Arabidopsis thaliana: one gene and its partner. Each later gene encodes a partner of the first gene's protein in a complex. Each region holds a gene or a part of one and is shown in the gene's direction. Other genes may lie near its edges.

Evidence for each region.
Region 2: SERAT2;1 (region 1) and OASB share a complex: the UniProt entries of both Arabidopsis thaliana proteins name them as parts of the cysteine synthase complex.

What each region holds. Positions count from the first base shown.
Region 1 is NC_003070.9:20,908,463-20,915,232, forward strand, and holds SERAT2;1 (serine acetyltransferase 2;1), read left to right. Parts: upstream 1-3,653; 5' UTR 3,654-3,699; coding exon of another isoform or gene 3,700-3,708; 5' UTR 3,709-3,773; coding exon of another isoform or gene 3,774-3,815; 5' UTR 3,816-3,915; coding exon 3,916-4,860; 3' UTR 4,861-5,103; downstream 5,104-6,770. Other genes in the region: AT1G55915 (zinc ion binding protein), read left to right, coding at 28-687, 776-967; AT1G55917 (uncharacterized protein), read right to left, coding at 2,663-2,687, 3,274-3,320, 3,378-3,404, 3,527-3,551, 3,586-3,596, 3,700-3,708, 3,774-3,815. UniProt on the Arabidopsis thaliana protein: Serine acetyltransferase which catalyzes the formation of O-acetyl-L-serine from acetyl-CoA and L-serine. Also displays O-acetylserine (thio1)-lyase activity in vitro. May be involved in detoxification process by mediating the production of glutathione.
Region 2 is NC_003071.7:18,126,771-18,135,514, reverse strand, and holds OASB (O-acetylserine (thiol) lyase B), read left to right. Parts: upstream 1-2,876; 5' UTR 2,877-3,192; coding exon 3,193-3,435; intron 3,436-3,621; coding exon 3,622-3,731; intron 3,732-3,818; coding exon 3,819-3,876; intron 3,877-3,979; coding exon 3,980-4,243; intron 4,244-4,513; coding exon 4,514-4,651; intron 4,652-4,783; coding exon 4,784-4,835; intron 4,836-4,920; coding exon 4,921-5,000; intron 5,001-5,107; coding exon 5,108-5,167; intron 5,168-5,295; coding exon 5,296-5,376; intron 5,377-5,673; exon of another isoform or gene 5,674-5,818; coding exon 5,819-5,911; 3' UTR 5,912-6,080; downstream 6,081-8,744. Other genes in the region: AT2G43770 (Transducin/WD40 repeat-like superfamily protein), read left to right, coding at 212-1,243; AT2G43760 (molybdopterin biosynthesis MoaE family protein), read right to left, coding at 1,643-2,239; AT2G43745 (jacalin lectin-like protein), read left to right, coding at 6,160-6,537, 6,624-6,656; AT2G43740 (Mannose-binding lectin superfamily protein), read left to right, coding at 7,631-7,885, 8,013-8,687. UniProt on the Arabidopsis thaliana protein: Acts as a major cysteine synthase.

The sequences.
Region 1 (6,770 bases):
GTGTTAAACTAATTCCATTACATCTAGGAATGCGAGGAGTTGATGTCAAAGGGTATTACAGGGACGGGACAGGGATTTGATATGCCTGGTAAGCGTTTGGGTGGACTTTCTCGTCAGCCTTCTCTATCATTTCTCAGAGCAACTGCAGCTACAGCAGCAGAAAAAAGAGTGCGTGCGGGAACTCTTTTACCTTCAGGACCTCAACGTCTTGGTGGTGATAGCAGCATTATGTCAGATCTTAGTCCAATTCAGGCTGCTGCAATGGCTGCAGAAAGGCGTTTACTTGATGATATTTGGTGTGGTTCCCAATCCACAGATGCTTTAGAAGATGAAGAGAATGATAGTGACACATATAAGGAACCTGTTTCCATCAGGGAAACTTGTACGAGCGTGAATGGAAAGTCAGTAAAACGATGTAATAGCTGGTCCAATGCCCATTCTTGTCCTCCATCTTCCAGTCATCAACAGGGATCAGATGTCATTGATTTGACTGAAGAATCTTTTGAAATAAGATGTACTAAAAGAAATCGCAGCCCAGGTGATCAGGGTCCTTCTTGTGCCAAAGATGTACCGAACGCTGGTGTCATGAAGTCATCGATTCCTTTGCCATCGACGAGTTACAATGCAAACCAAAGCAGAGAAGAATCCACAATGTGGGAGTGTGCAGAATGCACCTTATTGAACCCGGTAAGTCTTCCTTAAGAGTGTATAAACTTGAAGCTTCTTGTTGTCTCTATACTGTTTTTTCATTATCGGTCTTGTTTTCTCCTACCAGTCATTGGCTCCAATATGTGAGCTATGCACTGCCGCAAAGCCAAAGGAAAGGGAGATGAAGCACAAAGTCTGGTCTTGCAAATTCTGCACGCTTGAAAATGAGGTGAAGTTAGAGAAATGTGAGGCTTGTGGTCAGTGGAGGTACTCGTATGGAGCACCATTGTCAACTGGTGCTCCTAATGTCGGCACTTGAGGGAGTTACCAGTCTTCCACAAGGACTAAATGTCAAACTCTTAGCCATTTTTGGTAGCCAACGGACATGATTCTCCAAGTTCTATAAACAGTGTCCAAACTTGGACTTGTGGCTACGTTGTGTTATGTAGAGTAGTAGGCTTTTTAACTTTATTAGGTGGAAATAGTATTTTCATTTTGCAAACACTCAAACAAAGTTAGATGAGTAAACTCAATGATGTGAAAAATTGGAAAAGGTTTTCTTTTTTCCTTTGAATAACGATTTTTGAGGAAGCTGAATGAAAATAAGATTCTTTGTTGGTATTCTGATGGTGGTTTTCTAATTTTGACGTCGTCGGCGTCTTGTTCTACACAGAGAGTCTCTTTGTTCTCGTTGCTTCCATCTTCTATCTATGGCTGTTTCAGCTTCTGGTCCTGTAAACACTCCCTTTCGTCTACCAAGTCTTGAAACCTTAGACCCATTGCCTGAAGTCAAATGAGAAACTCGTCTCTGAGGCTTCCGAGGTATGCTCTTCTTCTTAACCATTCTCAGAGCCTCTATTGTTTGATTTCTAGAATGCTATACTTTTTTCTAATCCTGCTTTGCAGAATCTTTAGCTAACCTGATAGAATTGTGCTTTTCTATCCTTGGTATTAGATCAAGCGGTCTAAACTTCCCAGTTAGACTTTGAGGTTTTTGTCTGCTCTTGTGAACAATCATTTACATACATTGTGTGTGTGTGTGTCTGCGCGTGTGAATTCAGGTACCTAGCTCTTTCTTAAATCAATTCAGACATGATTCGTGGCTGTTAAAACAAGCTACAATAACACAAATGAAGAATTGTTCAAATATCATGTGCGTTAATGTCCACGCTCCTGAAATAGATTACGTATGTTTCACTAGGACTTGTTAGAATTGTGAAACTTATAAAACTGTTCTTTTTGTTAGGCAATGGTGAGGCTATTTTACTTTCAGGTTTAAAAAACCTGTTGAAGCATTAGAGTGTTGATGAATATGAGTTTCCCTAAAGTAGATAGTATCTTCAGTCTGAAGTATATATGCATGTGTTGTTTCTGATCATAGTGTGCATCAAATGGGATGGTTCTGAAGATCTTTTGACAAACTCTTTGTCTATCAATTGATGTTTAAGGTTCAACAGCGATTCAGTTTCATAAAAGGTGATGTTTTTGCTTTTGCTTTTGTTAGCAGATGGTACCAAATCAAAAAGCTTAGGATCATATCGAGTGCCCCTTATCTGATAGAGGACTCAAGGAAGCAGATACTTAACCTCATTAAGCATCATGCTCAATCTTAGCTCCTTATTGTGCTACTAAAGTTCCAGTCTATTGGTATCCTCTTCCAATCTTATTATTTGTGTTGTTTTTTTGTGTGTCCTGACGTTTCACAGTGTCCATTCTTCATCATGTCATTCTCCATTCTTCAACACATCACAATTATATTTTAGCTAAATAGATAAAATTTATTCATATGATTTATTCTAAGAGATATTCGACATTTTTCAATATAAATTTTAGAAACCAAAAAATTGTGTAACTCGAAAGGGAAAGTTCATATATTCTTTGTGAACCAAATCGAATTCTCTAACTGAATAGTATTTTGTGTTTTCATGATTTTGAAGAGCCAAATCTACTTGACTACTGGTTGAAAATTGAAAGAAACCCTAATAAGGGACAATGATAACGAAAGATTGGGTCCTCAAACAATGGACACCACTATTCTACTGCCATTTAAAAAAAAAAGTTTAATATTTTTGAATTTTATTGTTGTTGTTTTCTCATTTCAAAACATCCAAAATTCCAACTAAGATAAGATAACTTATTTGCAGTAAGAAAAACGGATAATTTTATTTATTTGAATCCATCCATCAACATAAAGGTGTGCACAAAGGACAATATTAGGCAAATGACAATGTCACGTAATCTACGTTGCCCAATTGAATAATTTGATTATCATAAAAGTTACACAAGTTTCATTATTGAGTATTGAGTACTGAATAGAGATATCTTCAACCATAATGTAGCTTTCACAATTTCCATACGCGAAAAAAAGATATACACAAATGGAGTGTGTAGAGTAAACTAAACTCACTCTATTATGACTAACAGTCAATAACACGTACGTAGTTATCAAATTATTAATGAGTAAAAAAGTTCCAAGTTAAATTATGTATAAATTAATCATGTATTAGCATTAGATTATTAAAGTGTGAAAAAATGATTAGATTCAGACAACCTTGAAAATAAGGAGTTAAAGTCAAAGGGCGACTGCTTCACGTAACTTTAGACTTACGTCATTACTAACGTCACCTTTCTTTGAAAACCTCCTCCTTTTGAAAACCTCCTCCTTTTGGCAACTTTAATAATAGATCCAATTTTCTTGGTTTTTCCCCCCATTATTTGGAAATTATAACCATTTTACTACAAGTGCCTTCTAAATTCTACAACCCAACAAAAAAAAAAAAATTATATTACATATCATACAAAATAGCTAGATAATAAGTAGTTGATGTTATTGTTATGAAAAAGTTGGTGGCACTAAAAACATGTGATGGCTAATGACCCTTAGATATGTGTAGATAAGCAGACTAATCATGCAAAAATAAATACAAAATTGTAAACATCGTAATTGTCTGGACAATAAATCATAAAATTAAAAACATAAAACCATTTCCAAAATAAAATTGTGTATGGAAAAAAATATATATTAATCTCACTTACTATATAATTCATTACCTCCTTAATCTGCAGAAAAATGTGTATAATTAAAGAATAAAATATTTAGAGAGCGCTAATTAAACTGTAATTACTTTTTGAGATTTTTTTGGGTCAGAGTCAAAGGTCGCCGCCATCTCTCTCTGTGTATATAAGCTATGTTCATCTTCTTCACTCAACAACCATTCTCTCTTCTCTTCTTTATCTCAAACTCTTTCTTCTTCCAAATCATAAACCATGGCAACATGCATAGACACATGCCGAACCGGTAATACCCAAGACGATGATTCCCGGTTCTGTTGCATCAAGAATTTCTTTCGACCCGGTTTCTCTGTAAACCGGAAGATTCACCACACCCAAATCGAAGATGACGATGATGTCTGGATCAAGATGCTTGAAGAAGCCAAATCCGATGTTAAACAAGAACCCATTTTATCAAACTACTACTACGCTTCGATCACATCTCATCGATCTTTAGAGTCTGCTTTAGCTCACATCCTCTCCGTAAAGCTCAGCAATTTAAACCTACCAAGCAACACACTCTTCGAACTGTTCATAAGCGTTTTAGAAGAAAGCCCTGAGATCATCGAATCCACGAAGCAAGATCTTATAGCAGTCAAAGAAAGAGACCCAGCTTGTATAAGCTACGTTCATTGCTTCTTGGGCTTCAAAGGCTTCCTCGCTTGTCAAGCTCATCGAATAGCTCATACCCTCTGGAAACAGAACAGAAAAATCGTAGCTTTATTGATCCAAAACAGAGTATCAGAATCTTTCGCCGTCGATATTCATCCCGGAGCGAAGATCGGAAAAGGGATTCTTTTAGACCATGCGACGGGCGTGGTGATCGGAGAGACGGCGGTGGTTGGAGACAATGTTTCGATTCTACACGGAGTGACCTTGGGAGGAACAGGGAAACAGAGTGGTGATCGGCATCCGAAGATTGGTGATGGTGTGTTGATTGGAGCTGGGAGTTGTATATTGGGGAATATAACAATCGGTGAGGGAGCTAAGATTGGATCAGGGTCGGTGGTGGTTAAGGATGTGCCGGCGCGTACGACGGCGGTTGGAAATCCGGCGAGGTTGATTGGTGGGAAAGAGAATCCGAGAAAACATGATAAGATTCCTTGTCTGACTATGGACCAGACATCGTATTTAACCGAGTGGTCTGATTATGTGATTTAACACAAATGTGTATTTCTTTCTTTCTTGTAACTGATGATGATGAAACAAGTCTTGTCTATTTCTTAATATTTTACTATGTACTAATCAAACAAGTCTTGAAATCAAGCTCATCGATCTTTAAGAAGAAACTAGAGATTAGTTTATCTCGAGGCGAATCAAGAATGTGTACACTTTTATGGATTAATATATTTGTTAATAACATGGATTGTGAATTGGGCCTTAAAGTGGACTGTTAAATGGGCCATGTATAACCAACTCACGCCAACAATAGTTTTCTAATGGTTACTTTCGTCGCCGGAGTCGTGGAAGGTGGAGAAATGGGAAAATCTCACAGAAGAAGTAATTATGAGTCATCGTAAACTAGAAAGAAGACTAAAGGACGAGGCAGAACAAAGCATCATTACTATAGTATTGATGACGTTCTGGTTTCGTAATTAAAGTGTTTTCATTTCCCAATGCAAATGACTTTTGATATTTCTTCTCTAATAAAGAAAGTCGCTTATAAAACTCAAACATAGAGAGAAGTTTTCATTTGTTCTAAACTTATTCAAAACCCTAGTTTTTTCTTACAATCAACCATCGCTAAATCAGAAGAAACATTAGTTTCACAGGAAAAAAAAAAACTAAAAAAAAGAAACAGAGATTATAAAGAGTCCATTGGAATATAGAGAACCGAAAATCGACCGAGATCACAAAGCCAAGATATGGCAAAAAGATATGATTCTAGAAGAATTTGGAAGAATATTAATAAATGTTAATATTAGAGTTTAGGAAGTTTAATATTATCTCTAAAAATATTATTTACATATATGTTTATTTTAGTTTAGGAAACTTAGATCTCTTCCTTCTCTATATAAAGATCATCTCCAATGTATAGCTCTATATCCACCTCTAAAATAGAGTTACTCTATTTTTGAGGTGGGTTTCTCTCCAATGTATAGCTCTATTTTCTACTCTAAAAAAGAATATTCTTAAAAATATTCTATTTCTAATTTATATACTAATTCCTTTTAATTATATAATTTACAATTTGACCTCATATATTATAGATTTGCAAAAATTTCCAGAAAATATGACATTATTTAAATTAAACACTACTTATTTATTAAAAAACATTACATCATATAACAATAATAAAACATTACAAATTTTTATTTTGTGATTTGGATTCCTTTCAAAACTCACATGTTCGGGCATATTTTGAGAGTGAACAAGTACGGCTTTTACAAAAACGATGTGTCCAACGACAAGATCAAGAAACTCTTCCTCCATCTACTTCATTTGGATAATATTTCGACTATCTTGGCGGATCCACAAGCAATTTACCGGACTATTAAATCACTAGTTAATTTGATGTTTTAGTTTTTTTATGTTGTTTATTTTAAATTAGGTACTTGTTTCTTGTTAAGTTTATAAAATTATTTTAAATTTAATACTTAATTGTTTGTTAAGTTTATAAAATTATGTGTTGTAGTTGTTGTTTGTAAAATAATTATATGTATTAAATAAAAAGTTTAAATTTGAGGGACTAAAGTATAAATAAAAAAATTGAACTCAAAAATAGAGTAGAGAATAGAGTTGCTCTATATATAGAGTCAATCTGCATAAATCTCTATTTTTGAGTCAATTATAGAGTGGGGTTGGAGAAGGCTTTTGTATTTTTACTCTAAAATAGAGTAGGGTTGGAGATGCCCTAAGAGATTGTAACTTGTATCTTTATTCTCATGAGAGTCTAATATAATTCATCATCTAAACACTTTTGTGTTCTTTACTTTCATCAAATTTATCGAGAGTCACCTTTGAAAGTAGATACACTATCATCTTTGTCCATGAGAACGTCCGGATGAGTATGATAGTGTATCTATTTCAAAAGTGACTCTTTATAATCTCAGTTCTATATTTTTGAGTTT
Region 2 (8,744 bases), on another chromosome or scaffold:
TACTTAGAATGTGCAGGTTTCATGATACTTCTTGGTGTTTACTATCTGCTTTTCGGATGTTATATTGATTAATGGCTTGAAAATTTTGAAATTGAGATATCTATAAAAGCTACACAGCTGTGTGAATATTGTTATAATTCGCTCAATCTTCTGATTCGTTTTCTCATGGAATCCAGGTTCTAACTTGATTACCAGTGAGAAGTAGGCTAAGATGGAAATCATGTCAAGAGAGAATGAGACTGCTTTGTCAGGTCCTAGGCCGATGGAATGGTCTACCGTCCCACACAGTGCTTCTCAAGGACCTGGTCCCAATGGCAAGAACCGGACCTCGAGCTTGGAAGCACCTATCATGTTGCTAAGTGGACATCCGAGTGCTGTCTATACCATGAAGTTCAATCCTGCTGGAACTCTGATTGCATCTGGATCCCATGACAGAGAAATCTTCCTCTGGAGAGTTCACGGGGACTGCAAAAACTTCATGGTTTTGAAAGGTCACAAGAACGCCATCCTTGATCTTCATTGGACCAGTGATGGCTCCCAGATTGTATCAGCTAGTCCGGATAAAACTGTAAGGGCTTGGGATGTTGAGACTGGGAAACAAATCAAGAAGATGGCTGAACATTCATCGTTTGTGAATTCTTGCTGTCCTACACGTAGAGGGCCACCTCTTATCATCAGTGGATCTGATGATGGAACTGCCAAGCTTTGGGACATGCGTCAAAGAGGAGCCATACAAACATTTCCTGATAAATACCAAATCACTGCAGTCAGTTTCTCAGATGCAGCTGATAAGATTTTCACTGGTGGTGTAGACAATGATGTTAAGGTTTGGGACTTGAGAAAAGGTGAAGCCACCATGACACTTGAGGGCCATCAAGATACAATCACAGGTATGAGCTTAAGCCCAGACGGTTCCTACCTTCTCACTAATGGAATGGACAACAAGCTCTGTGTGTGGGACATGCGTCCTTATGCTCCACAAAACCGATGTGTAAAGATCTTTGAGGGGCATCAACACAACTTTGAGAAGAACCTGCTGAAATGTTCATGGTCACCTGATGGTACAAAAGTTACTGCCGGTAGCTCAGACCGTATGGTTCATATCTGGGACACAACCAGTCGGCGCACTATATATAAGCTCCCAGGCCATACCGGTTCTGTCAATGAGTGTGTTTTCCACCCAACCGAGCCTATCATTGGATCTTGCAGTAGTGATAAAAATATCTACTTGGGAGAGATCTGAATTTCAAAGCTGTGAAACCTTTGCAACTCTAAGTGGAATTGAAGTCTTTAGAATCGACGATGTGCTTTGAGACATTTTGTTTATTGAAAGAAAAAACGAAACATTGCTCTTTGGTACAAGTAATCAAGATTTGTTATCTCCTGTAATATCTTCATTACGCTCTTTATCTTCTTCTACTTTAACAGATGAGGTCATCATTTTAGTTCTCCTTAAAATTGTTATCTTTGGTATTACAATCTTGCAGTATCTTCGATTAGATTCTTACAGATTCAAGCAGTAGCAAGTATAAGCCCAGTCCAGTAACCAACTAACGCATATAAGTCTTTAGATTCAACAATGTGCTTAAGAAAGTTTGTCTATTGAAAGTAAAAAGCGAAACAGTGTTACTGCTACAAGTGATCAAGAAGAAGATTTGTTATCTCCTGTAATATCTTTATGCTCTTCATCTTCTTCTACTCTAACTTTGCTTCCACAGCAACCTCTTCTTCTATGTTCTTCAACCACAGTTTTTTTTACAATGCTGTCTCTTTTCTCTGCAAGCTCCAATCTTTTCTCCATAAACTCAGAATTCTCCTTCCAAATCTCTCCATTAGTGTAAACCTCTTTCTTCCATATCGGAACCGATGCCTTCAACTCGTCGATCAAGAACTTGCAAGCATCTAAACCATCTGCACGGTGAACAGATGAGACCGCAATGAGCACGCTAGTTTCTCCAACAGGAACTGGTCCAAGACGGTGAGCAACAGCAATCTTGTGGATATCCCAAGTTGATCTAGCAGTTGTACAGATCGAGCTGAGGCATCGTGTGGCCATTGGCACATATGCTTCATACCTTAACTCCAACACTGTCTTGCCCTCGAACATGTCTCTTGTAGTGCCTGAGAATGTCGCAATAGCACCAGCTTGAGGGGCACTGACATAATCAATGTACTTAACAACATCGACTTTGTGACCTTCCTCCAAGATCTCTATAAGGTTCTTCTCCTCTGCAGACATCTTTGATCCAATAGTAAACCTCGATACAATCGATGTTCTAGGAAGAGTAAACCAAGCTTAGCAGATGATCCGATAGCAAATTCTAACCTGCAATTGGAGGAAATAAACAACCATGACTATCTCATCACCTATCATCCAAAACTAATCAAACAGACAATTTGTTTAGTCAAAGGCAAACAGAGCAAATGAGGAACCTTTCTTGCGCAATCTAATGGCAATCACATCTTACTAATCCAGAAATGGAAGAGTCAAATCAACAAAGTAGGAGAATAGTGGACCAATGAACAAACTCAAAAAACGATGTCTCAAATCGGATTAAGAATTTGCCAAATCGGTCAATTTTTATTGAATCAGACAAAAACAGCAAAGGCACAAAACTCGTCTACAAAACTGACCAAAGTTCGAGTTTTTGTAAGATTGAGGATCGAATGGATAGAATCATAGAAAGACAGAGATAACGACAAAGAAGAATCGTCTCTTTCAGTACCTTACTACACTAAAAGTTTGTAATAACTTTAACAGCTACCCAGAAATTAAAAGAAGGCAAAGAACAAAAAGAGATCCAGAAAGATTTTATCTGACCTTTGAGAGTTTGGTAGGGCTGCATGATGAAGAAGAACATGTGCTCTATATTCACCTTCTTGTTGGATCAGACTAGTAGGTTGGTGAGATTGTAAAAAACAAAACTTTACTAATTCAATTTCAAAGTCTCTTCTTTTCTCCAGATACTCTGTTTTACCATTCAAGGAAAAAGGATAAATCTTGTAGAAAGAAGATGCCAAAATGATTTTTTTATTTAGAAATTAAACAGCGACGTCGTTTTGCAGCTACAGTGCGATCATCTAATCAGTCAGTGTCTTCAAGTTTAAACCGCATCTCTAGTCTCTCTCTACTTCTCTCTGTGTACAATATTCGGAAAGTGAGGAAGATACACTGAAGCAAAAGAGCAAGTCATGGCGGCGACATCTTCCTCTGCTTTTCTCCTTAATCCGTTGACTTCTCGCCACCGTCCTTTCAAATACTCGCCAGAGCTCTCTTCTCTCTCCTTATCCTCTCGAAAGGCTGCTGCTTTCGATGTTTCCTCAGCTGCTTTCACGCTCAAGAGACAGAGCCGGAGTGATGTTGTGTGCAAGGCTGTATCTATCAAGCCAGAAGCTGGTGTTGAAGGGCTCAATATCGCCGATAACGCCGCTCAGGTTAGATTGTGTTTCGTTTGCATTTGGATAGAGACAGAGGAAATCTAAATTGGTGATCAATTTTGTCAATTTAGGGGAAGATATAAACTAACTGAGTATTATTAGTCTTGTAAATTTGACTTCTTTGAATTTTGATTTCGTTTCTAATTTTTTTATATTCTTTCTGAATGTTATGAATTGATTCAGCTTATTGGGAAAACTCCGATGGTGTACTTGAACAATGTAGTCAAGGGCTGTGTTGCAAGTGTTGCTGCTAAGCTTGAGATCATGGAACCATGTTGCAGTGTCAAGGATAGGTTTGTGTATCCAAATATAATTTGATTTTGGTTTTGCTATCTTTCACATTTATACATTCTGAGCTTGTGTTGTTGTGGTGATTTCAGGATTGGGTACAGTATGATTACTGATGCTGAAGAGAAAGGACTTATAACACCTGGAAAGGTATTTGATTATGGATTTGACCTTTTATTGTTGTTGAATGATTCTGTATTGAGTGTCAACTGTCAAGCCCTCTGATTTTGTTTTCTTGCTGCAAATGTTTTAGAGTGTTCTTGTGGAATCTACGAGTGGGAACACAGGGATTGGCCTTGCATTCATTGCTGCTTCAAAAGGCTATAAACTTATCTTGACGATGCCTGCGTCCATGAGTTTGGAAAGGCGGGTTCTTTTGAGGGCATTTGGAGCTGAGCTTGTGTTAACTGAACCTGCAAAAGGTATGACTGGAGCAATTCAGAAGGCTGAAGAAATCTTGAAAAAAACTCCCAATTCCTACATGCTCCAACAGTTTGACAACCCTGCCAATCCCAAGGTCTGTAATTACTTCTTGTTTCATCATACTCTCTAACTGTGACATGAATTATGAGCTACGATTACTTCTGGCCTTGTACAGTAGTAAGAGGTGGTGTGTGAAAGGGTTCATTAGAGATGATAGTGAAATTCTTCCGCACTTCCTTTTGGATTGTTGTAGAGTTTCTATGGTATACAGTTTTGAATCATCACGATTATATCTGGGATTCACTGGTTCCATTGGTAAAAGCTGCAAGTATTTGTTAGTGTTTTGATATAAGATTAAATGCAGATTCATTATGAGACGACTGGTCCTGAGATTTGGGAAGATACAAGAGGCAAAATCGATATATTGGTTGCGGGGATTGGAACTGGTGGAACTATCACTGGTGTTGGTCGATTCATTAAAGAAAGAAAACCTGAATTGAAGGTACATAGCAAGAGGGCTTGTAGCATATCAGCTGGAATCAACTGTAGATGTTATAACCTCCGTAATTAGATTTAGTTGATGTTTACTTGTACTTGTAGTTATATTTAATTAGTTGATGTTTACTTGTACCAGGTTATTGGTGTCGAACCCACGGAAAGTGCTATACTTTCTGGTGGAAAACCCGGTAAGGCAGTGATTTTGTTTTTCTTGTTTCTCTGGCACGTTATTCTTTTTATCTTGCGTTTATTTGACATGTATTTGAAATGCAGGACCTCACAAGATTCAAGGAATTGGAGCTGGATTTGTACCCAAGAATTTGGATCTGGCTATTGTAGATGAATACATAGCGGTATGATCTGTTGGTTTGGTTCTCTATAACTATACATTCATCTTTTTCACTTTCAGCAAGCAACAATTTTCCTTTTTAACTTCACCTGTTTTGTTGCTTCTTATCAGATTTCCAGTGAGGAAGCTATTGAAACCTCGAAGCAACTAGCTCTCCAGGAAGGCTTGTTGGTTAGTCTATATTTGTTATTCTGTTTGACTTATTTGTTAGTGGGAACACTCTTTATAAAAGATAGAAAACGAATGTAAATGCATATGAGAAATCTATGACGATTAGTAAACGACTATAACCTTTTCAGGTTGGTATATCTTCTGGAGCTGCTGCTGCTGCTGCAATCCAGGTTGCAAAGAGACCTGAAAATGCCGGGAAACTCATAGCCGTAAGTCCTCAATGTTCTTCATCATAATTTCTTTATGGACCAAAACCTAGTCTTGTATCTGTGACCAACCACTGAATGATATAGAAAAAGAGTTCTTAAGTTATCTAATCATGAACCTTGGTCCTTTTAGAGTCTTACTACTTATTTTAACATTTGTATTTGAGTAGTTGGTTTGGTTTATACGTCTAATGAACGTTTACGTTGCCTTAATCTCTCTGCCACACCAAACCCTAGTCATTGCAAAGAACAAGAGAGGAGCTTAATCTCTCTGCCACACCAAACCCTAGTCATTGCAAAGAACAAGAGAGGAGCTTATTATTCAATTACTATAGCCCAACGTAGGGAATCAGTGAAAGGATTTTAGCTTAGTATGGAGTAAAAAATATAACAGATTCATCATATGTATAGTTTGATATGTGAGTTGCTGAATCTTGGTTTTCAGGTTGTGTTCCCGAGCTTCGGGGAACGTTACCTCTCGACCCAGCTTTTCCAGTCGATTCGAGAAGAGTGCGAGCAAATGCAGCCCGAGCTTTGATTTTCTTCTGTAATTTCGTGACCAACAAGGAACCTCTTCTTTGATTTATTGCTGATTGTTTTTCTTCTAATAGACGTTTCTGCAGAAATCTCTACGTCTACTGTGTATATTTACAATTCGCAACGCAATTTGGTGTTTGTTATTAATAAAGGCATAAGAGGTTTTGGTCAAACGAAGAGTCTTCTTCTTGAGCACAATTTTCGAGCGTTTTGTTTAATGTACCTGGAAACTTGTTTAGCTTTCTCCCAATGGAATCCATAAATGAAAGTTATGACGACTCTTCGAGTTTTGGACAAGACAGTCTCCTATATAATCGTCCTTTCGCCTATCTATATCTCTCCTTCCACTTAAAACTATTGTACTCTGTGCCTGCTTCTTATATAGCGATGATAAGAGCAGGATCAGTGGGAAAAAAATCGACATGTGAGTATACTTATTGGGACGACGGTGTTGGAGAAGAGGTGATGGGTGACGATAGTTGGGATTACGAGGGACGCAAGATCTCTCACATATATGTTGCTTTCGACGAAGTCATAATGTCTATTCAGTTTGGTTTTTTGGAGAATGGAGCTCTAGTCCTGTCTAAACAGCATGGTGGCATTGAGGAGGGCTCCAACTTTCGTGTTGTAAGTTTTGTGTCAATAACAATTATTTATTTTTGCGTTTGCGTAAGATCCGGTCAAGTTTTGTTTTTGATGAAGTTTAAACGCAGTTGAGACTGAATCAAGACGAATATGTAACTTGATTAAGTGGAGTACTAAGAAAGCATGGTGGAGGGATCAGAAATTTGACATTTCGCACTAACGTCGGGGAGTATATGATTGGACGTTCAAGCGACAATTATCCAAATCATTGGAAGATAGATATTGATCCGGCAATATGTGATGAACGTGAGTTTGGTGGTTTCTTTGGGTCTAACAATTTATACCATCTGACATCGATTGGTATGTATTTGAGACCCATTACAAGTCTCGACATGGTTGTTAAACGCGAAAACAGTTGACCAAGAAAGCCTTGTAGCCTAGTTCAAGTTGCCTGTTGAGTTTTATCTTAAATAAAGTAGCATTTTTGGATCAATCATCTTTCTATTTCTCAACTCTCAAGTAATAATAAAAAATGGTCCCATTTCTTCCTTTATTATTTGTTTTTGTAAATTTGTGCTCCATTTTCTTGTGATGAAAAACGAAATGTTTAAATGACAAAATTCGAAGTCACGAATCATTTCATGTATAGTATACCCAAAGATGATGCATCATTTGTTACTAATAACGTATTATGACTTTTTGGCTCACGAATTCTATAGACGGAAGGAACCAGCATCTTAATTAAATATTTGGAAAAATCTTTAGACGCATCTAATGTTCTTAAATCTATGGAAAATCGGCATCTTAACTGTTAGCAAAGAAAAAAAAAGGCTTTAACTATTACTAGTATCCTTAGATGAATATAGCTTTAAATAGGTAAACTATAGCTATAAAGTAAATAACAAATAAGCAAGGAGATTAAATATTTATAGTTACTTTTTTGTTCTTCGAATTTAGTAAATTTACTGTTTTCAAGTTGCTTTACATTTTGATTAAGGAAGTTTTCTTAGAGAGATTAGGTATGTAAAGCTTTTCTTCGTCTATATATAAGTATAGATCGTCCTCAGAAGAACAAATTGTTTTATTAAGAAAATATTTTAATCCGAGCTTAATTCTTTCGTCTGCTATATTCTAAATGAAATCCCGTGGTAGGGAGATGTTCAAAGTCGGACCAATTGGGTCACAACGTGCTTATCTTAAGAATTTGGAATGGGAAGAGAAGGGACGCAACATGATCTCTAGTATATATGTCGCTTTCGACAAAGATACCATAAATTCTATTCAGTTTAGCTATTGTCAGAACGGAGGTCATGTCGTGTCTAAAAAGTATGGTATGTCTGATGCCCAAAAACAAAAGTATGGTTCGTACAACGGTCGATTCCACGTAATGGTAAGTTTTGTTATAATACATCTTCATGTTTTTTCTTCCTTCTGATAGTTATAATATCTGGTAATTTTTCTTAGTGGAATCTTTACATTTTGTTTATGTAATTAACATTGTTGTTCATCATGTATAGTTTGTTTTTGCTCTTGTTACTGATGACCACGTTAAAACAAATTTATGCAATATACAGGTGAGACTAAATGACGATGAGTTTGTGACCGGGTTGAGTGCAATATATCTTTGTAAAGGGATCACGAATTTGAATATTCACACTAATCAGGGGAAACACGGCCCGATTTGTGATAGATATTCATCATCAAAGAATATTATGGATAACTATAAGGTGGAAATTGATGTGAAGATACGTGATCGTCGTGAGTTTGGTGGTTTCTTTGGGTCTTTTGATAACTATGGCACTCTGACTTCCATTGGCATTTATGTGTGTCCCATTACAAGGATCAATGACGTAGCCCTCAGAACCAACTACAAAGTCACCGATGACTACGACGACCAAAGCACTTTCTATCAATCATCTGGTCCTTTAACCACAATCAACCATAATCGGAAGCTTGAATATCAAATGCCTCATGAGGTCTCCGATGTCAAGCCCATTGTTCATAACCCCAATTTCGAAGACAAGATCAGTCTCTACCAATCATCGGATCGTCTAGCCAGAAGCACTAACACTCGGACACTTGAGTATCAGATCCCGGAGTTCCTCGATGTCAATCCCATTGGTCGTAAGTCCAAACTCAAATATGGCATATTCTCCAAGTTGGCGCGTCTTTTCAGAAATCTCTTGGATTAGATCTTTTTTTTTTTCGTTTGCATTCGTGCAAGATCCGGATTGGTATGTATTTGAGTC